Linked DNA regions of Drosophila melanogaster. The protein of the gene in region 2 purifies or fractionates together with the protein of the main gene of each other region. This does not show direct contact. Each region holds a gene or a part of one and is shown on either strand. Other genes may lie near its edges. The genes, in order: phol, Sfmbt, Mi-2 and HP1b.

What was found.
Region 1: the proteins of Sfmbt (region 2) and phol purify together in Drosophila melanogaster (affinity purification with western blotting; one study listed by BioGRID). This does not show direct contact.
Region 3: the proteins of Sfmbt (region 2) and Mi-2 purify together in Drosophila melanogaster (affinity purification with western blotting; one study listed by BioGRID). This does not show direct contact.
Region 4: the proteins of Sfmbt (region 2) and HP1b purify together in Drosophila melanogaster (affinity purification with western blotting; one study listed by BioGRID). This does not show direct contact.

Annotation. Positions count from the first base shown.
Region 1 is NT_037436.4:9,452,276-9,458,169, reverse strand, and holds phol (pleiohomeotic like), read left to right. Parts: upstream 1-1,888; 5' UTR 1,889-2,432; intron 2,433-2,527; 5' UTR 2,528-2,630; coding exon 2,631-4,640; 3' UTR 4,641-5,367; downstream 5,368-5,894. Other genes in the region: CG3552 (uncharacterized protein), read right to left, coding at 1-181; CG3437 (uncharacterized protein), read left to right, coding at 521-576, 635-808, 868-1,404, 1,490-1,772; ghi (ghiberti), read right to left, coding at 5,727-5,872.
Region 2 is NT_033779.5:13,170,755-13,178,365, forward strand, and holds the start of Sfmbt (Scm-related gene containing four mbt domains), read right to left. Parts: upstream 6,003-7,611; 5' UTR 5,915-6,002; coding exon of another isoform or gene 5,783-5,914; exon of another isoform or gene 5,780-5,782; intron 5,716-5,779; exon of another isoform or gene 5,669-5,715; intron 5,629-5,668; exon of another isoform or gene 5,469-5,628; intron 5,199-5,468; 5' UTR 5,060-5,198; coding exon 4,913-5,059; intron 4,612-4,912; exon of another isoform or gene 4,523-4,611; coding exon 3,685-4,522; exon of another isoform or gene 3,473-3,684; intron 3,188-3,472; coding exon 1,889-3,187; intron 1,812-1,888; coding exon 1,562-1,811; intron 1,497-1,561; coding exon 985-1,496; intron 912-984; coding exon 559-911; intron 31-558; coding exon 1-30. Other genes in the region: CG43925 (uncharacterized protein), read left to right, coding at 5,783-5,914, 6,003-6,134; CG5439 (uncharacterized protein), read left to right, coding at 6,497-7,611. UniProt on the Drosophila melanogaster protein: Polycomb group (PcG) protein that binds to the Polycomb response elements (PREs) found in the regulatory regions of many genes.
Region 3 is NT_037436.4:19,907,201-19,911,752, forward strand, and holds the start of Mi-2 (Mi-2), read right to left. Parts: upstream 3,016-4,552; 5' UTR 2,880-3,015; coding exon 2,843-2,879; exon of another isoform or gene 2,434-2,842; intron 2,380-2,433; exon of another isoform or gene 1,998-2,379; intron 1-1,997. Other genes in the region: Prp3 (precursor RNA processing 3), read left to right, coding at 3,278-4,319, 4,374-4,552. UniProt on the Drosophila melanogaster protein: ATP-dependent chromatin-remodeling factor which acts in nucleosome-remodeling by catalyzing ATP-dependent nucleosome mobilization. Involved in regulating transcription. Plays a vital role in development.
Region 4 is NC_004354.4:9,079,320-9,083,251, reverse strand, and holds HP1b (heterochromatin protein 1b), read right to left. Parts: upstream 1,999-3,932; 5' UTR 1,894-1,998; coding exon 1,171-1,893; 3' UTR 506-1,170; downstream 1-505. Other genes in the region: APC4 (anaphase promoting complex subunit 4), read right to left, coding at 1-11, 87-198; CG7246 (uncharacterized protein), read left to right, coding at 2,305-2,396, 2,454-2,757, 2,822-3,932.

The DNA.
Region 1 (5,894 bases), on a different chromosome or scaffold from region 2:
GTCGCTTTACCTCCTGGTCCTCTTTTTGCCTGCAATCCGCGGATCGGAGGACTACCAGCGGCAGCAGAGTTGCAACCTTCAGCGAAAACCTGTTGCTAAAGCCGGCGGCTATAAAACTGCTGTATTTTTGGGCAACATATCGGTTGAATCGAAAGAAGGCTGCGAAATGCCGCGAAAACATTTCGTTTTGTGCTGGGCAGGGAAAAACAAACTGAAAATTTAGTACAATTTTAAGGCCCAGACAACCTGACAACCCAGACCGCCCAGACAGCTGATTGCTGACTTCAGCGGCGTGGCAAGAGGGTTAAAAAAAAAAACGAGTCAGCGCGTTCGTTTTTATAAATATGGATCCTAATAAAGTCCCAATTTCGGAATTTTATTAGTTAGAAGCTGGCGTACGAGATTTAAGAAGCATATTTTATTTTCTGAACCCCATTAAAAAATTTGAGCTACGCCTTTGATCCAAAAGACCTGCATCCCTGGTTTGTTTGCTGCTGAAATTGGCTGCATTCATCAACAAATGGCCCAAGTTCGAGGATCTTGCGAAAGTTTCTGTCCCGATGGGGAGGCGAAAATGTAGGTAAACGAAATTTAAACCCGAATTTAATATAATAACACCGTTTAATACATTCAGGCGTATTCGCGAGAAGCTTTTGCACTATTTCGAGCTAAAAAATGGCCAGAAGAACAAGCCAGGAGTCCTGGTCAAGGAGTTTACACGCTCCGCCGCCGATGTCAAGATGCCCATGCCCAAGGAAATGCGCACAGAAGCGGCATTGACCAAAACAGTGGAATATCTGCTCAAGGAGCAAGTATATTAGGCGCTTAGTTAGCCAAGTTAAATCTGATAATTAATATACTGTGCAGCATAATCCTGGACACACGAAAGCCGTACAATGTGGCTTACGACTTCATATTCGATCGATTGAGGGCGGTGCGTCGGGAGATCGTGATCCAGATGTACGATGCCAGTCAGAAGATTTGCCTGTTAGAGCCCATTGTGATGTTTCTGGCATATAGTCGCTATCGCTTGTGTGAGGAGCCCATCGAGAAGTTCGATCTCAAGATATGCAATCAGCATTTGCAAGAGTGCCTCACGGGAGTGCTTTGCTGTTACGAAGAACTGGAGGACTTGGAATCATCTAGAGAACCCACCGTTCGTGAGCTTGAGCGGCGCTGCTTCATAGAGAGCCTGTATCAATTGTTTAATCTGGGTTCTCCCGAGTCCTTTACACGCGCCCTCACCTTACCGGACTATGTGCGTCGGGATGCGACGTTTAAGCTTTGTTTTGGGATCTGTTTGGCCTTCCAACAGGGCAATTTGTATAGAGTGCTCATGGGTGTGCCACAATTGCCGCATATTCTGTGCGCGGTAGCTGCCGCCAAGTTGCAGGTGATAAGGAGGTACAGTATAACTTTTTCTATTGGATCTCTTATTGACATGATGCATTTTTAATGTAAATACATATGTATGTATGTATATTTGCAGGAGTTTGTTGCAGATTTTCACGCATGCCTACAACAACAAACAGCTTACGGTGCCGGTTCCTTACTTGTTGCGTTTACTGTTGTTCGATGGGCCAACAGGATTGCAGGACCAATGTCGGCATTATAATATATCCTTAACAGCGGATAGGAAGGCGGTGCAATTTAATAAGACTGATTTTAACCACAATGCAGAGGTATTTACACCCCAACACGAGCGCTTTGTGGAGTCGAAGCTGAAGCGTATTTATATTCCAGAAGTTCTATTGCTAAAGAAATTTAACTAGTTATTTATGAGCAACAATTGTAAATAGCTCGAAATAATAGTAAAGCCATGGAGATTAATTTATTGTTATTGCGCATTTGTTTTCTTGTCGGGTGGCAACCCTGGTGGCAGAACAACAAACCTATCGCTTATCGAAAGACAGAACGCCGCGGTATTTACAGCTAATAAATGGTTTGCCAGTTGGAGGTTAATAAAATGCAATTTTTGAATAGTAGTTAAGATTACATTTGTGCTGTTTTGCGAAGTAATGCGAAGAGAATAACCAATCTCCGCTGAATAAACCGCTTAAGATATACACAAAGCGCGCGCAGGGTTGCATTGTGGCGCCTGTCGCTGCACACTACACACACACACACCCCACACACGCAACGCGAGAGAAAGTACCGAGCCGTTTCTGGAAAATACAATTCCGCCATATTAACCGGCAAAATTCAAAATATTTACACTGCCCGAGGTGAGCGGGATCGAGGTGGTCATCCAAAGCGAGAATTAACCCGCCATTGGGCAGCAGGAGAGTGGCGGGCGGAGCGGAGCGAGCGGTACGCATCATTCGCCGTCTGCCGCCGCCGTCGCACAATAAACGATAGGCATTGGCCACAAAAAAGTGGAAAAAGAGGTGGAGGGAAAGGCCAGTTCAGTGCAGCAATACCGACGAAAACACGTACGTTTGTCCACTTTGGAAGTCTGGCGAATATATAGAGATATATACATAATACGGATTTTTGGCCAGATACTAATTGCCCACTTTTTCCGCAGCGCGCTCGCACACACAACACTAACACTCACGCACGAAGCAAGAGCGCCCACAAATACAAGCATACAGATACAGGCACACAGACAGGCAGACGGAGCAGCCGCGATGACAAGTCATCATCATCACGTCGGCGTCGGAGGGAACTTCCAGCCTCAACTGCATCAGATACGAGCGCCCATCGTGAAGAATCTATCGCTGGCCGCTGCGGCGGTACCGTTGCCCCTGCACTCCGCCCCGTCGTCGGCATACTTCACTCATGCACACCAGCCTACGGCGGCTACCATAGTCGAGCAAGATCCGTACACCGTTTTGGCGGGCGATCCGATGGGCGAGGAAAGCGAGAGCTTCCTGATCGAGGAGATCATCGACGACTATGATGATGAGGCTAATATCGTCGTAGACTCAGGCGAATTCTTTGAGCACTATGAATACTATCCGGTGGATCGGCTGGACAGACTTACCTCGGTCACGGTGGCTACGGCAGATGCACTGCCGCCGCCGATCATCATGCAGCAGACCAGCGACGATGAGGAATTCATCGAGGAGGATGGACAGCAGATGACATCCTCCTGCGATGGCGATGGCGATGAGGATGATGAGGCTACCGCGCCGGCTACGACAAATGCCTTCGAGATTGCCTCCGAGATGCTAACCACCATCGAGGCCACAAACATCAAGGAGGAGCAGCTCGAGAGCGACTTCTATATGAAGGCGACCGAGGATTCAAACAGTTCGAATGGCCAGCTGCAGGATTTTAAGCTATTTGGAAGCAGTCGCGTCGAGAGGCCCATGGGAAATTCAGCGGCCAAGCGCTGGAAGCAAACAAAGGTACCCATACGCATAACGCAGGATGAGTTCAATGTCACCCTTTGGTCCTCGCTCAACTCGGAGGATGAGGACGAGGAGGAGGAGTTGGAGGAACCACCTGGTTGTGCTGGCACCACATCCGTGACGTCCTCCTCCGCCGCCCAGAATGAAGGATCACCCAGCATGCCAAAGCTTATTATTGACGAGCACATGATCAACCACGATGTTTTAAGCGATGGCATCGGCAACGAGTACGTCATCCTACCCGATCCATTCAGCGCCTCTGCGGTCACGGATGTGGAGGAGGTGGTTAATGCATTTATGGGCGATGTCAAAGGCGAGGAGGACAGCCAGCCGCTAAGTGAACAGTTGATCTATGCGGAAAACCAGTTGGAAGAAGCTTATGGTAACATCGAGCTTATCGAGAACATGCCGAATAATGTGGAGCTGATACAGACACCGGGACCAGGTCCAGCCACTGTGTCGGTAGCGCTATCGAAGGTCAACGGATGTGTACCGAATCCACAGCCGGCTCTCCCAAAACTAGTGCTCCAGAACAGCAGCACCAATGTGCGACTGAAAAGTGCGGGAAATCAGTCAAAGGTGACAAAGAGGCAACTCACGGCGGCGGCTCAGGTGGCGACACCAAATCCCCCACCGCCACTAGTGGCTTCCAGCAATCCAGCCCGACCCCAACGACCCACAATTGTAACCAAATTACCGACTGCAGTGGCCAATCAGACGGCTGGTAATGCCATGGGAGCAGCTGGCGCGGCCGGCGAAGAGGATGAGGAGCCAAAGTTTCGCTGCACCCATCGCGGCTGCAACAAGGAGTTTCGCAACCACTCGGCCATGCGCAAGCACATGCACACGCACGGACCGCGCGGTCATGTGTGCAACGTCTGCGGCAAGAGCTTTGTAGAGAGCTCCAAGCTAAAGCGCCACCAGCTGGTGCACACCGGCGAGAAGCCCTTTGAGTGCACCTTTGAGGGGTGCGGCAAGCGCTTCTCGCTGGACTTCAATCTGCGCACCCACGTACGGATACACACTGGCGATAGGCCCTACCACTGTCCCATTGATGGCTGCTCCAAGTGCTTCGCCCAGTCAACGAACCTCAAGTCCCACATGCTGACGCACACGAAGCCCAAAAGGAAGTGGCCGCGCGCACCGCAAGTGAGCAACAACAAGACACCGCTGGTGGCCAGATACGGGCGACTGGAGTTTGGCGAGGATCCTCGTCTAGTGTACGTAGAACAGAACGAGGAGGTGGCGTCGGTGCTGCTGGATGGCACGTCCCTAACATCCTAACTAGTAGTGCGCTTTAATGTGTGGCAGGTATTGGCATGAGATGGTTAAAATATTAAAGCTCCTTTGGCTCCGGAAGGCATTATTGTACAGTTAGTTGTAGCCAGTTTTTATCTGTATCTGTAACCTGTAACGAGCGGAGCGGCCGGACAAGATTGTCACCTGGTGAACACATCCGCCCGCTGCCCGCCCTTTAAGTAAGTAGTGTAAGTTCATTCTCTAACAAAATAGGATTGCAGTGCAAAAGGAAGTTAGATGGTAGCCATTAATTAATTTCCTTCACGGATGAAGAGCAGTTCTAAGAGTTTAGCTTGTACCGTAGGCTAAGTGAGTCCCCCCGCAAAACCAAAACTGAACCGTAATCCCCGAAGAACTCAGCCAAACTGTCACCTTAAAAAGCCCCAATTTGATCTGATACTAATCGTGTGCGATCTTCGCTCGAATAACAAAACGCGCACTTTCTTTTCTACGAAAACAAAACAAACAAAAAAATAAGAAAAATACACAAAACTAGTTTTACCATATTCAATACGCATACACCATAGGCTATCTATATATTTTTGTAATGAATTATAACACTTAGAGCATTGAAGTACGGATTTAGCATGTTCAACGTCTGTTGGCGCTAACAATAATTCACAAATGGAAGCACATCAGTTAAGTCGGAATAAACAAGGGAAATACCTCTTCAAAATTAAACAAAAATAAACCAGGAAAACAATGCAACAACACTTGCGTATATCATTTATCATTTCTTTTTTTAACTATTTCACAGTGCGATTGTGTAAGCGTTAGATTTATTAACTGACTTTAAACTTGTAACTACTGCTAGATAACTACATTAAACGGTGAGGCAGCTATTGATGGACAGTCGCCGGGTGTTGTCCACTTCAGATTCGGATCAGCAAGCGATTAGATCGCCTCTTTGGACATGTGTCGCCTACAGCTACGTTCCATTCATTGATTGCGGTGTATAAACGCGTGCGGATTAGATAAAGCATCGCGGCGAGGTACAGATACGCGGCTATTTTGGATATTGGAACGGAGAACAGTACACACGATTGGTCTGGGCATGGTCTGATCGGTATTTTAGGTGACCTTGAGCCCATGTCCTTGAACTCCGGGAATAATATCCGCGATGGAGGCACTTGTTGGGCCAATCAATCCGGCCAGCGAGAGCAGCACGGAGTAGTTGAAGTACCAGAAAACGCAGAAGAGTACCATGAAAATGACGTCTGCAATGAACCGAGAGCAATA
Region 2 (7,611 bases):
AATGTACTTATTATTCGTCGCAGAGGAGTTCTATAGTGGGGTAAAAAATAAGGACTTAATTAGTTAACGTATGATGTTGCATTGCTGGTTGGGTGTGTGACGGAACGATTGGATGTCGGTGTGTTGGGGCTATTGGGGCTGTTGCAAGTACCAAAAATAACAGTGCGTAAATTAAATTATATACAAATTGGCGTTTTATGAACGATTTGATTTTGGTTATATACATTTATGCAGTTGTGTTACGGAGCTTTAGCACAGTGGTTTAAGTTGGGTCGGACAATCTATTTCATATGAAATAACAAAAACTTAAGCTAAACAAGGCAAACTTGGATTAATATGGAGTATTTTGGTGTATAAGCTGATGCTTCTATTTCGAAAAAAAAAGGCAAATAAATTAAAGGGGAATTCCTCTAAATAAAATTTAATTAATGTTTAAAACAAAAACCACTATGCTCTTTGGACCTCCCGTTTAGATGCGTGAGCTGAACTTCAGGCGGGCAAGCAGGCTGGCTGGCTAGATGGATGACTCTACGCACTATTATTCCGCTAAGTACTCACCGCAATGTAGCTAGTGGCTTTGCGACCCACAGTTGGTGGCGCAGGAGATTTAGTAGTAGATTTCTTTACCGTTTTGTTACTGCCCGTGGCGAGAGTTACCAGCGAGGCGGACCCACTTCCACTGCCCGATCCAGCGATCAGATCACTGGACGACTGTGTCGTTGACTGCTCGGAGATGTGGCTGGTGCTTCCGTCTCCATCGCCATCCGCATCGGGATCCTCCTCGTCGCCTTCCTCCTCGGGCTGATTGTTCTCGTAAAAGGCAGCATTGTGATGCTCCGGCTTTAGCTCCAGCTTGATGCTCAGCTTGGGTAAGTGCGGCGTGGTCTTGAGCGCAATTGTACGCGATTTGACTGGAATAACATTTGAAGATGCATGATGATATACAGGAATTCGAATGACTTTGATTAGAAAAAAAAAACTTACCCGACTGAGTATTATTATCGGTTGGAGTTTTGCCTCCCGCTGCTCCCTTTTTGGGCTTTCGCTTTCGCTGTATTTTGGGCTTTGGTGCCGGTTTCGGGGCCTGCTGATGTGCTACTCTCGGTGGGCCCTCTAGCTTATGGTTGACCAGTACACACCATCCGACTGGATATATATCGGCTGATTCGCAATCCAACCACTGGTCGTACTCATCCGTCCATCCGTCAAAGTGAACCTTGAGTAGTCGACCAACCACTCGCGCCACCGTGGCCACGCAAACGAGTCGGGGATCCATGAGATCTGCACACTCCAGACTCATACCCACCTCAAATCCATGATCGGGAATAATCCGATGAAATAGATGCTGGCCAGCGGCTACGGCTCCCGTGTCGCGGAGGTAACCCTCCCAGGTGAATGTACGAGAGTCGTAGCCGTTCGGTGGGGTAACCGAAATGTTGTTGACGGAACAGAATCCAGCCGGAAAGATACACGGACTCTTTTCATGGTAACAGAACCTAAAAAAAAATACAACAGAAGCTATTTAGATTTGCCGACTTAAATTGAAGCTTTTAAAGCTCACCAATCCGACCCTGAGGCATCCGGTTGGTAGGAATCAATGCGTATCATCATGTATCCGAACTTAAGAACCGCCATTACTGTAGCCGGGCATATGGATGAAAGGTTGAGTGGATCCACCGCTTCCAGCTTCATGCCCTCCACAAAGCTATTGGTTTTGCCGTCACTGTAGTATTCGTCGAAGGTGAAGTTCATCTTAAACAACTCGATTGTGGCATCGTCCTCATGAACCTCAATCATGGCTTCGCGACCAGCTGGAAGTAGGAATGGTATGTAAAATGTTAAAATGGTAATGTAAAAACATGTATGCAGAAAAAGTAAATATTATTACCTAACATGCGCTCCAGATAGTCCTGCGGTGCAGCCAGATTATGGCCTACTGTGGTTGCCCAGCCAACTGGATGGATGATGGGCGAGTCCTCGTGACACCAAAAGCCGTCGTCGGAATCGAAGTAGCGCAGGAAGAGGCGCTTTCCCACGATTTTGGTGACGGTGGCCAGGCGCACCTGCGAAATGCGATCCTTGTCCACGCACTCGAGATTCAGGCCAAGGCGGAAGCGCGACTGGAGGCTGTCGTTGATTTTGTTGTAAAAGTTGGAGGGAAGGGTGCGGGCTCCGGATAAACGTCCCACCAGAAAGTCCTTCCAGTCCTTGTACTTGTGCTCGATGGTGCGGGGCGGAATTAATGGCTTGCCCCGAGTGGCGCACCAACCCACCGAATGCACCTCGGCATTGCAGAGGTTCACCCAGAAGTCGTGCGAGTCCGTATCGAAACCCTCGTAGCTCATTAAGGCCTTATAGCCTTTGATTTCCAGGATGGTGGCCACCCAAAACGAGGTAGGAGTCTGACCCGGTTGGATCACTTCGATGCTATCGCAATCCGTATTTTCCACTTCAACCTTCATGCCCACGCCCAAATTGTCCCATACCTCGCAACCGGGTGCATGAGGAAAACAAGTGACGGGTGCCGCATTGAAGTTCTCCTTGCTAAGGCGGGGCAACCAGTCGTAGGAGTGTGTGGGATCATACATGCGCCGCCGAATGCTGATTATCTTCTCCATTTGCGGACACGGTACGGGAAGGCGCTCGTATTTGGGTATTTGCGGCAGGTCATCCTGTGGGTAGATGTCCTTAAAAAGTCGCAAGGCCTTGGGCGTGGGTGCTGCGCTCAGATAAGAATTGGGTGTGGATGCACCCTCCTCGGTGCTGCCCGGAGCAGTGGCATCGCCCACTGCTCCGCCGTTTAACGCAGCAATTGTTTCATCTGCTGCCATTTGTACATTATTGGCAGCTGCGTCGCCGCCCATTGACATGGGTTCGCCGAAGCTATTCAACTGGGTAATCTTTGATTGATCCGTAATGCGAAAACGATAATTCGCATTCTTAATGTGCGCCGCATGCAGATCGAGCTCAATATCCGACTGCGACTGTTGCTGATCGCCAGGCAAATCGGCTGACTCCGAACCCGCTCCAGGATCCGGGGAACTAGTGGTTGCCTGGTCTCCCTCCATCTTAGTGTTAAGTACCAACGAATATAGTTCGCCTCGGGCACAGGCCATGCTGCAAAAACGTCGCGATTTTGTGTAGAATGTGTGCTTCACTCCAATGGCGCCACAACGTTTACAGACAGCTGTAGAAGAAGAAAAAACGAATCGTTTAAGTGCATATTAATGTAAACGTTAATTTCGTATTTAATTTAAATGCTATCATGGTATACAAACCCAAATTCTTGCAAAACAAACCCAAAACCATAAAGATAAGTGAAACTAAGAGTAGGATTTAAAATAAAAAGCTTGAAAATTAATATCGTGTAGAGTGGATCGATTGCAGATTTACAGGTGGTTTTCATTGTTTAAATAAACGAATCATTACTAATTACTTAGAAAGAAATAACTATTTACTTTATCAAATACATAAGCTAGTAGACAGAGCAAGCCTTGAAAGATTGTAAATACAAGGCAAAGGCTTTTGGAATTTTAGATAAGTTCAATGTACATCAAACTGATGATGTTTAATAATATATGATCTCAACTAAGATCTCTACCACTTATCGTTACTTATCGTTTACTTTTCTGCCCGCAATGTTCTAATTAAGAATCGACCCACTCTAGTGCACAGCAACCTTACCCATGCCATCTTTCTGTATGGGGATCACCGAAGGGTCAATGTTGCCCCTGTAGGCGATGGGTGTCTTCAGCACCAGTCCTGGCCTGTTAACGGGCTCGATCTTGCGCGTCTTGCGCTGTGATCGCAATGCGGAGGACGTGGAGGCACTGCAGGTGGCGGTGGTTGCGGTGGAATTGGCTCCCTTGGCCGTACTATAGGTGCGCTGCATTTGCTTGCTGGATGTGTTTTCAGTGCTGACCATTATGTTGCCAAAGGCATTGCCATTTAGCGTACCCATCGCAGGGACCAGAGTTGTGCCCAGCAGCTTGTGGTGCAGCAGGCCATCGGGCAGTGGAACCAAAAGATCGTGCTCGACTCCAGGGACGCCCAAGCTTCCGGGCATCTGTGCCATGCAGGAGGAGGAGGACTGCGAAATGTCCTTATCGGAGGAGGTCATAAAGTCGGTGCCATCGTACGAATTATTGTCCTCGTTCATCATCACAAAGTCGTCGATGTTGATAATCTCTTGCTTGGGCTCCAACTCGGATCCATTATCATCAAAGTTATTGTCCCTCTGACCGTACACTTGGTCGTCATCGTCCACGACCGCCTCCATGGCCATGCCAACCATGCCGTTCTCCACATCGTTATCCATTGCCTCCGCATAGTTCTGGAAGACTGCCGCCGCCGCCGACTGCTGGAGCAGTTGCTGCTGCAGGCCGCCCATGTGGGCAAATCCGTACAGGTTGTTCGAGTTGGTGGCAATCAGGGTGCCCGGCTGTACACCCAGTGCCGCAGCAGTCGCCGCCGCTTGACCAGTGAAATCTCCCCCCATTAGGCTCATCATCGGATTCATGTCCTTTTTTTGAGCATTGTGGGTTTTGGAGATTGGAGGTGGTTCGGGTTGAGGATCGACCATTGGTTATGTGTGTTTTTGTGTCGAGATTTAAATTGTAACCAATATATAAATCAAAGAAAAGAAAGTAGAAGAAATAAGTAAACAAATTCCAATTGTTTATAACTGAGACAGACAAAAAAGATAGTTTGGAAATTTGGCCAATCCCCAAGGAGTACACGTTGAAACCTAAAGAATTTGGGTTTGTTTTCGACTCCGAGGACTATCAAATATAATGGGGTGCCTTAGTGATAGACACGTATCTCGTTTTCGCGATGCTCATTTGAAAGCATTTTATATTTATTAGTCTTCGAATTGAGAGATTGGCTTCTGAATCAAACCGTCTGCACTCACCAAAGTTGGCTGATGGGCGGAGAGGTCCTCCATGACAGAGAGTCCAACAGTGGGATGACCCAGCAGAGTGGCCGCATCCTCCAGTGTAATGCGCTCCGAGTTGTACTGACTACTCATCCACATCATGCGCAGCTCGGATGGGTTCATTTTAAGCCAATGGTGCTATCGATTCCGGATTGGTCAGTATGGCAAAAGCATTTATGGGACAGCTTTCTGGGTTCTCTTCAAAAAGTATTGCTTTCTACTGCTGCGTGTCGCGTTCCTTTGTTTTTCGAACTCGCATTGACTGAAAACAAACATTGAAATAGTTTAGTGTTTTGAAATAATAAAAATTGGTCAAGATGGGGCGAATTTAAAAAGTAAATCCCTATTTATTCCTATCTAAAAACTACGTAGTTATTTACTTAGTACTTTTTAAGCTGCCTGCTAATTCGAATTTTTAAAAGAATATTATGTTCATATTTAGAAATCTCCGTATCTATTTGACGCTGATTGCTAATCTTGCTGCAATTTTATGGACAATGCAACATAGAATGCTCCCAGTTTGTTTGGTTACGAATAGCTCCTGGAACCGGCGAATGTTCCGGCCATATGGGCTGTAAATCCTGACCGAATCCCAGTGTTCCTCGTTGTTCGTTTTGTTTGCCTCCTTCTGTTCCCGTTTTCCTTTTTTTTTCATTCTACTTTTGCCTTTTCTGCACGCAGATGCTGCGCGGTGAGGGAAGCGTACGGAAATGCGATTGAAGCCTGTCGTAACGGTCGGAATTTCAGCCGCCGCGTGGAGTTTCACACAACTGAATAAGGTTCGAGCATATATCCGATTTATCAGAATTTTTGGTTACATTTCATGGGTTCAATCTCGAAAAGTCAATGAAGCGTTTGCGCAGACAGCCAACGCGAACAGAAAAGAAAATTTACGACGTTGCTGCCCCTGGATGCAAACTTACACTTTTGCACGTTGGACGCGTTCGGATTGGGTTTCCCCAGTTGCTAGCACTTGCGGTATGACATATTATTGGATCTTCAATCGTTTAACAATAGTTTTTAACAGATTTTTGTGTGCTAACTTCTTTCGCATTTGCGCGAGCAGGGATGGCAATTATACGCCAGGGCTACACAGTCGCACAACAGCGTTTTGGCATTATTTTGCCCGCTAAATCACCAGGGATGCACAAGTGGTCGCGTTCAGCGAGAAATAATGCAGAGTGATTGTTATCGATAAGTGTACAATACTGCTTATCTCAGTAAAAACACAATTTTAATCGAAATCGTTGTACCTTACCAATATGAATTGGAGAAATTAAGCGCTTTCAGTTATAATTGGTTTGTTTTGATAACGCAACCTATAGTTTTATAAGTTTTTTAGGTACCATAAATTATTTACAAACAATTTTTTTATTTTAATAAATCACCTAATGCTGAGTCACAGTCACTTAAAATCATTAATCGGTGATCTGAATGCGCCCATTCCAACGCTTATCAACACTGTTTGGCTTGTTTTGTTGTCAAGCAACCAGTGTTGGCACACAACGGAGTGAGAAAAATGAGTAGAAAATATAATTAGTTGAATAATAGCCACAAATAATGCCAGAAAATGCATCCAGCTCGATGCCCACAGAGGCAGGCTTCCGGAGCATGCGCAGCCAACTGGCGGGCAGCACCTTTGGCCAACGGCGCGAGGACATCTTTCGACGTCTACAGGAAAGTGCGCATAAAATCTCACAGAAGTTCAGTGGCAAAGAACTTGCCACTGAGCGGGATGAATCTGTTCAGGAACTGTGCGAATCCCTCGAGGAACTAATGTCCTACGGACTTAGGCAATCGGCAGGCACTTCCTCCTTCAGCGCCGCCAGCTTCATCCAGAACATGCAGGAGATGGTGTCCGGAAATGCGGGCGGAGGCAGCAACAACAATGACGCCACTTTCTGGGAATTCTGCCAGACGCATTTGACGCCCCACGAACGTCAGAGGTATATGGACCTTAAGCAGATCTGGACGAATGTGGGCAGAGGACGTGCCTTCATACGCGCCACACTGAACGAGAAGCGACTGCATAGCCATGTGCTCACCTGGCTGAGCGACGAGGAGCAGCTGCATCGATTTTACACACCTTGGTCCCTGCTACTCAACGATGAGGCGGCCAAGAAGCTGCCAGAGATCGTAGACTCCCTCAGTGATGTACTGTTCGCCCTCAATGTGGACACCACTGAGCTTAATGCACCCAGGAGATCGACGCCAAGTGTTGCCGTCAAAGAGGAACCAATTATATTCACCACCAGTCCAGTGCCGGTGGTGGGACGCCAAAAAAGACCTGGTATTGCGGTGGAACGACCCATTGAGTGCGTTAGCTCCACAGAGGATTTACTTGGTGCTCTAAAGCCCATCGAGTCGGTGGAGGTTCAGCAAATACTCTCCAAGGAATCCATCGAACAGGAGTTAGCCCAGCCACAGGAAGAAGTCAACTTGGGTCCCTTCGACCCCATTGAACCCGAGCTGGAGTTTCTCAAGACGCCCTTGCCAGACATTGGCGCGCATGTTGGAGAGTCAGAGCTCTATGAAGACCGAAGCGACACCTCCTCGCAGTGGAGCAAGTCCTCCTCCTCTGCCAATTGCTTGGCTAACAGCCAACAGCAAGCTGCGCTGGAAGAGCATGTCAACCAGCTAAACGAAAGATGCGCTCTGCTGGAAACCCGTGTGGC
Region 3 (4,552 bases), on a different chromosome or scaffold from region 2:
TGCGCGTCAAATGTCAAAATCAAGAAGAACAACAAAAACCATTATCGAAGCGACCTAGTGTTGTTCTACTTGAGAGAGCGTTTTTTGAATAAAAATGAACGTATTTGAAAGCTAAAATAATATTTACTTTTCCTATTTATGTTTCATAGTTTTGTGGACTTTAAGCGCAAGTAAACTTTTTCGAAATGCCAGCACACACATACCATTTACCAATTATACAAGCATATATATTTATAAAGATATGTATATGTATATACATGGCGGATATAAAAAAGCACCACTTGTTGTTGACTTGATTGAATGCAGTGCGTGCGAGCGGGATGGCAAGTTGTGTTTCGCCAAAGCAAGGTAAGATCGTCACCAATACACCAGTAACTGCAGCTCACATACACACACAGTATACTTTCACTTCTTGTATTGAATTTTTGATTTTATTTGTGCTGGCGCCATGTTGTTGTTGTTAGACATGGGGTTTTAAGCAGATTTATGCAGTCGGCAACAGCGAAGCTTTTGATAAAAAAATGACAAGAATGCTCAGATTAACAACGAAAAAATCAAATTATTTGGATCTTTTGAAGATACAAAGTTGCGGTAATGAATGTCATTATTATTAATACATTTGATCGATATGTGCTTTAATTGCATGAAACATTGAAACGGTGTCAAATGCCATTGCGTATTTCTTGCTGTGTACGTAGGAAAAATGCATACGTCATTGCCGAAACCTTCTTATCCCTCTCACACCCTTTTATTGTTGCATTACTGCATAAATAGTGGCACTCATACATGTGCATCGTTTTAGCCTTTTGTAATTTATGCGATGTCGCATTACTCTTGATTGTTTACTTGTGGTAGAGTAATCGGAAATCGGATGGCAATGTTAAAGTAAACAATTTTAAAGACAGCATAGCGCAGCAAATCATAAAAATTATCACAGAACCGGCAAATGGTGAAATTAGGAAGAAGAAAAATGGGGAAGAACCAACGTTGGCTGACGTCACAAACGTGAGGGAAAAGACAGAGCGAATTAAGCATCCTCCTATCGATGTATCGAAGGATAACGGCAGCGAATCCAATTAGAATGAGCACCGAAGGACGGGGAGGGGAACGTGTTAAAATTAGACATTGAATTCTACTCCCACGCTATTTCTCTAGGATAACTTCCTCACGCACGCACACCGTATACATATACATACACACGCCCACAGTGCAACAGCGTCGAACGGAGAAGCAGAAGAGAGGCGAATGAGGGCAGGGACAGAAGAGAGAAGAGGCCTGTAGACAGAAGAGGAACAGCTGCGAACGAATTAACATAAATTGTATGCAAAATTGGGGTGGCTATGGATACTGCTGCTTTTTGTTACACAGCGGCGGCATATTGTTTATCAGTTTTCCTATGAACTACTACTACATTCCAGCAATTTCCTCGCGAGACGGGCACCTTCCCATCCCATCCCTTGGCATCGTCTCTTTTCCACACTCTACTTTTCTCCTTCTTCATCTTACTTGTGTGTTGGCATATTTTGATTAACTCGTTAAAAAGACTATACTTTAGTTGTTTTGCAGGCACTTCGGTAGGATTGCATTGGTAGCTATATTTTTGTTGTTGTTTTTAACTAAATTTAATTTAAACGCGTCGGGTTTCTGTGAGTTTTTTTTTATCATATACGTTGGAGCGACAGAGACGGGGCGACGGCGACGTTTGGCTGGAGCGCGCGTGCATAACACGCACACACACAGAGACGCAAGTACGCGAGAGAGTGGAGAAATCAATCAAGAGAGCACGTCGGCGAAGGGGGAGTGGAAAAAATCACATATGTATGTGCGTCAGTGGAAGTGCGACAAGATTTTCCACAATATTCCACGCATCTTTGTTTCGTTTCTTTAGATATATGCACATATTGCTTCGTTTTCTTTTTGCATTGCTTTCTTACACAATTTATAATATATATATGCATATTTTGTGGTAATTTCAGGTTTTTATTTTTTGCACACACTTTTCATCATTCTTTTTTCGCTTTTCCTTCAGTTGGATATATTACGCACTGGATTTGTGGCTTTACACTGGCAATCGGTAGGCGGTGGCGAGTAATGCACGTATTCCCCTTAATTAACAGTTTTCTCTACAATTAATAATGTAATCTCTTTAACAAAAACTCAGAAATCACGTCATGGCTGCCACGTCCAAGCAACAATGAATGTAAATGGTGGCAGATGAGGCCGTCTGGGCATTCTCGACTAGCTCCAAAAGGGGCACACTATTTTTCTGGTGATACCATTGCACAGCCGATGATAACACTGCATATACGGTAACACCACAATAAGTGTGAACTAAAATGAATTTTCCGTATATTACAATTGACACTTGACAATTCACAGGTAAAGTAAACATCTTAATTGCTAAAGAACTTAAGATAAAACTTAATTTTAAAGGATTTACAGAGTATTCCACTCAAAACTTTCGACCAAAACAACCATGTAAAACATATGTTTTGATGAGTGAGCAGGACGTCTATATATTGCCTGCATTCGCGAATGGAGGGAACACAAAAATGCAATAAAAAATATGTGTGGAATGGAGGAGGCGCAAAAGACCCCAAAAAAACGCGCCACACATGTACAAATTTCACCAATTGCTGTAATACAAATAGTTTATAACGAGGTACAGCAATGACAATGACCAATTAGGATAATAGGCAACAATAAACAATGGGAGGGGGACGCAGCACGCTGCGCGGCTTTGCGGCTCTTGAACATGACCACGGTTCTTAGCCTGACCGAGCGACGGTCGGACCGAGTTTTTTTCACGCCGACATTTGGCCGACTGAAACAATGCACTTACCCTGGAAATTATCGTCATTCTCTTCCTCCGATGCCATTGTAGCACTCGAATGCAACTTTTACACTGTTTGAGCACACGAAATTGTCTTAATTTCCACAACAAATAATTAAGCACACACAGACACGACGAGAAAAAAATAGTCAATTGTAAGCGGCTTCAACAAATATGGCGGAGCGGAGAGCGACAAAAAGTGAGAGAACTAGGGTTGCACCCCGATAAAAGAAAGCGAAACGGTCACACTGGCGACATGACAACCCTGACTTTTATGTTTTTTTAACGACCCTGTCCTAACGTGTTTCGGAGAATTTTTCACCAAAGACCAAAAACCTTGTGTATTGTTTTTGAATTGCAAATCGCTGATTTAAGCTCAAGGAATGTGCCAAGCAGTTGGTAAATAACATTTACTTTTTAGTCCGACCCATTTAATTGCGAATTATGTCGTCCATTATCACGCGCAAGGATGGCGACGACCAGAAATTGTCCAAAAAGCGCGCTGCCGCCTCAGATTCCAAAAGTGGTGGTGGAAGCGCCCTTGAAGCGCCCAAGAAATCCCGCTTCGATGTCCCGGAAAAGAATGGCGGCGGTGGTGAGAAGAAAGAAGAGGTCGCCGTGCCCGCCTCGCTGAGTTCCACGCAGATCAAGCTGATGATGGCCCATGCCCAGCGGGAGATCGAGGAACGCAAGCGGGCCCTGAGTAATCTAAGAGACAAGGATCCGCTGCTGGCGTCAGTTCCATCGATCGGAATGCCAGTTGCCTTAGCCACTCAAGCGCTGGCGAAGAAGCCCACGCCCGAGGACTCGGAGAAGGCCAGGAAGATTGCCGAGTTGCAGGCACAGATCAGGGCCAAGCTTACTGGCAATTTGGCTAGTTTGATTCAGCCCACTGCGGTAGCGGCCGCCGCTGCAGCTGCTGCTCAAGCGCAGGAGCGACCCAAACCCCTGATTCTGGACGATGAAGGACGCACTGTGGACAAGAGCGGACGTACCATTAATATTCCCACGGTGACACCTACATTGAAAGCCAACATACGCGCCAAGAAACGGGAGGTGTTCCAACGCCAAACGGGTTTGGGTGAACGGAGTGAATCGGGCACTTCGGCCCAGGAAGAAGCTATTAAGTACTTTGACGACCGCATAGCCCTGAAGCCCACTGTTAGAACCAAGAGGACGTTGAGATTCCACGAGCCCGGAAAGTTCCAGCAGCTGGCCGAACGAATGCGCATGAAAAGCCAGCTGGAGCGACTACAGAATGAGATTTCGCAAATAGCCCGGAAAACGGGCATCTCGTCGGCCACCAAACTGGCATTGATTGCCCCCAAGCAGGACATGCCGGACGATGTGCCTGCCATGGAGTGGTGGGACTCAGTTATACTGACCCAGGATCTGGAGACGGTAGACGACGCAAGCGGTAAGATAAGCATACGCCAAACAGCCATAACCAACCTTATAGAGCATCCCACACAAATGAAGCCGCCAAGTAAGTTGAAAGCTAGAACATGTCCCACAAGCAACTAACCACCTACTCCTTCAGATGAGCCCTTGAAACCAGTGTATCTGCCGGTTTTCCTCACAAAGAAAGAGCGCAAAAAGCTTCGTCGCCAGAACCGTCGCGAGGCCTGGAAGGAGGAGCAGGAGAAGATCCGACTGGGTTTGGTGGCCCCACCAGAGCCGAAACTGCGCATATCCAACCTGATGCGTGTGCTTGGCTCG
Region 4 (3,932 bases), on a different chromosome or scaffold from region 2:
GACCACCTCACCTATCCACATGATTGGGATAAGCCCACTGGCAGTTTATTTGGTGATTCTTGGCAATTTCGGAGGCAGACGCTCACCCTTTTCCGTTCCGTAGGCAATTAGATCCATCTTGTTGTTCCACTCCATACGCTCCACAATGCAGGACATGTTGCGGGCGCCCAGCAACTTCATGGAGCTCGTTTGTGCCATCTTTCCACGCTAGAATTGGCTCGCGGCGTCTCTACTGTGCATCAAATATTTCAATATAATAATTTTAGTTTACACTTTGCCGGCTCCTGTTGCAGTCTATCGAATAATATTCCTGCTATCGATCAGAGATGAGCGGAAATAGTAGCTATTACAAATTGGTTTCTCCAATTCTTCAGTCATTTTTGACATTTTATTTGATTTTTGTCAAATGTTTAAACAAAATATTTGTATTAAAACTTCGGGACAGCGAGAAAGAATGTGTATTTATGATTGAAACTTCTTAGATATTTGTACTTATGCACGGCATGGCAAATTATCTGCCAGCACAATTTTGTTTTATTCGTACTTTACTTTAGTCTTACAAACCTACATAGTTTTAAAAGCTTTTGTTTGGAACACATAATGATTTGCGAAACAATGAAAAAATCGGGAAAATCTAAATTAATCGATCTTAATAACTGCCTGTTAGGAAAAAATCTCAAATTCTGGCTATAAAGGCGCTAGGTGGGCAGCACAATTGGCGTCTTTTGATTTCCACACAAAAATATTGGCAATTTCAATGTGTTTTTTTTTAACTTAAAGTGTTAGAAAGCTGGATAGTTGTTAAGATAGAAAGGTGGTCCTTCAGTCTGAGTCGTTCCTCATTGATCAGGTTAAGCGTAGTTTAGGCCAATTGTATTTAACACTGTGATGTTATATGCTTATAAAACATTTATGTGGGTCAAAAATAAAGGTAGATGTTAAAAACAATTTTACAATTGAACTTATAGATTAAGTATGTATATATATGTATATGTATATATGTATATGTATATACTACCGCTGACTGACGCCAGAACTTCAGTTTGTCCAATTTTTTTATCTTAAGGGCTACGCTACGAAATATGTATGTACATATATCGTATAAAGCCGGTGTGTATGTATCCACATAAGCGAGTGAATCCGAAACAGTCATCTGTATCTGCCACTCAACTAGTCATCCGCATCCGGCTGTCCGTTGTCCAGCTCACTACTCTCGTCCGGCTTGATATTCTCGTCTTGATTGATGCTGCCAATGGGGCTGGCCGGTTCGGGATCCTCCTCGTCACCGCCATCTATATTGCTGCCGCCACCGGTGGTGCCAACGCTGCCGGGAGCAGTATCATCGCCGGCCCCACTGCCGCCGACGGAGCCCAGGCCACCGGATGATCCCAAATTGACGGAATTCGTATTCCCATTACCATTGCCGCTGCCCGTGTGCCAGGTGAGGCGCTCCTCATAGAACTGTATGACCACCTGGGGGCATCGAGTGTTGGCCAGCTTGGCGGGCACAAGGTCGGCGTGATCGCTGCCCTTCCACTTCATGAGGAACATTAGGTGCCCGGATGAGTCGGTGGCGCCCAGTATTTTTGATGCCTCCAGACCGCGCTCAAAGCCGATCAGCTTCTTCTGCTCCTCGGTATCGTCCTCCAGGAAGCTCTTGCGCTTGCTGCGTATGGATTCGGGTGTGGAGGAGGTGGACAGGCGTTTCTTTGTCTCCTTCTTGTTGTTCTTCAGCGACTCCTCGAAGTTGGCTATCAGGTCTGGACAGTCGAGATTCTCCACCGGCTCCCAGGTGTTTTCGCTGCGCGGATAGCCCTTCCACTTTAGATAGTATTCCGTTCGTCCGTTCACCGTTCGCTTGTCCTCGACGCGTTCCACTGAGAATTCGGCCATTGTGCTTTTACGCTAATTGTGTTATTCCAACTGCGAATTTTGTTATTTTCTTGGCGTCCAAAACTTATTTATACGTGCGATTAAAGAGATTGAAGAAGAAGAAGAAATCAAGATGGCAACTCCATGGTCTCGCCATCGGCAACTATCGCTCTCTTGGCCAGTAAACGCATTTTAATTAAAAAGCTGAAACTTTAAAAACTTTACAATTGTAATTTTATCATTATCTCTTGACCATTTTTAAATTTTGACATATATATATATTTTTTTTAAATTACCCTTTCTACCATCCCTGTCAGCGATAACTCTCCAGAAATTGGACAATCGATAAACGGCCGTTGCGTTGCACGTGCGCTAGTTTTTAAAGAAATAAACAATATTACTAAGTACGATTAAGGAGAAAACTAAGCAAATATGGCCGAGTTCATAGCTGAGATGCAGGAGCGCCTGCTGCCGGAATACGAGCAGATGAAGAACTACAGCGTATTCACAGCGGATCAGGTCAGGTGAGAAATCCAAACGAATTTGGAGTCTGTGCCCCCATTTCATCCATATTCTTGCAGAGAAATCGTTAGCAGGCGGGAACGCTTGTTCCTTAAGATCAACAAGAGCCACCAGAGCATCACCGACTACCTGGACTTCATACTGTACGAGAAGCACATGCACATGACCATCGTGGACAAGGAAAAGAAGATGCACGTTAAACTCACCGGTCTAAAGGCCTCCATAGCCACGCGGATCATGCGCCTGTACAGAGAGGCCTTGGCTAAGTTTAACCACGACAGACGGCTGTGGAGCAACTGGATCAAGTTCAGCAGGAAGTCAAATCCTGTCGAGGTGGCGGGCATATACGAGAAGATGCTGCTGGTTAGTATTTGCCAGCCTGCTCACTTCCATTGATTACTTATCCATTGTTGTTATTCTTTTGCAGTACCATGGCGACTCGCCGGATCTTTGGGTGGACGCCGCCTTATGGCTGTACGAGTTCAATCGGCTCAACATCGATCGAGTCAAGGACATCCTGCTGCGTGGCTTGCAGAGACATCCGGATTCCGAGGCACTTAACAAGTGCTTCTTTGACATTATGCTGAAAGAGGCTGCCCTGGCCAGCAACGAACGCAATTTAGCCGAGAATACGCTCTCGGAACAGGACATCAAATTGGAACGCGTGGAGGCGGTCTACCGCAACAGCATGGCCAATATTACCCAATTGGACTACTTTGTTAAGCTTCTAGAAAGCTGTGAGGATCATCAGGAGCTGACGGGCAAGCTGCAGCGAATGATAATCGATGATATGCAAGAGAAGTTCCCCCGGGAGCCGGGCCTGTGGGATTTGCTTGCCCAGCGAGAGTTGCGCGGCTTTCATCTGGGCGACCTGGAGGAGGAGGACTTGGATACCAGTGACGAAGAGCCGGCCAGCAAGAAATCTCGTTCCGTAAATGGCCGCTCTCTCAAGCGACGCATTCAACTCTGCGTTACTGTATACAAATCGGCGGTGGAGGAGCTGCAAACGACAGAAATGTGGAATATGTATTTGGATGCCATGCTGGCACTCAATAGCGATGGAAAGACGGAGCGTATACTAAAGCAACAGTGCCTAGCGGATGCCTTGCAGGCGGGCCATCGCTCTCAGTTGATGGGCGTGAAACACTATGCCACATTAAGAAAGATGCTCTGCACTGCTCCGAGTGGAAGGGAGGCAGCTGTCACCATACTCACGGAAGCCCTGAAAAACGATTCATCGGTGGAGATGCACGAGCTTCTTCTGGCCACGCACATTCAAAGCGACAGTGAGCCCTTGATCTATGAGCTATTCAACAAGATCCAGAAGAGCATGGGCAGTGAGGCGTTGCCGCTGTGGCGCAGTGTCATTCTGTATTATCGCACTCGGCAGGATAGCTTGGGCGCACGCCGGCTGGATGAGATCTACGGTCTCGCCTGCAAGGCTGCGTGGCCGGAATTTGGTGAGCTGCGCTCCGATTATTTGCGCTATCTGTGGCAGGAGCGGTCTGTCGAGGAAGCACGCAAGGAGTACGCCAAGC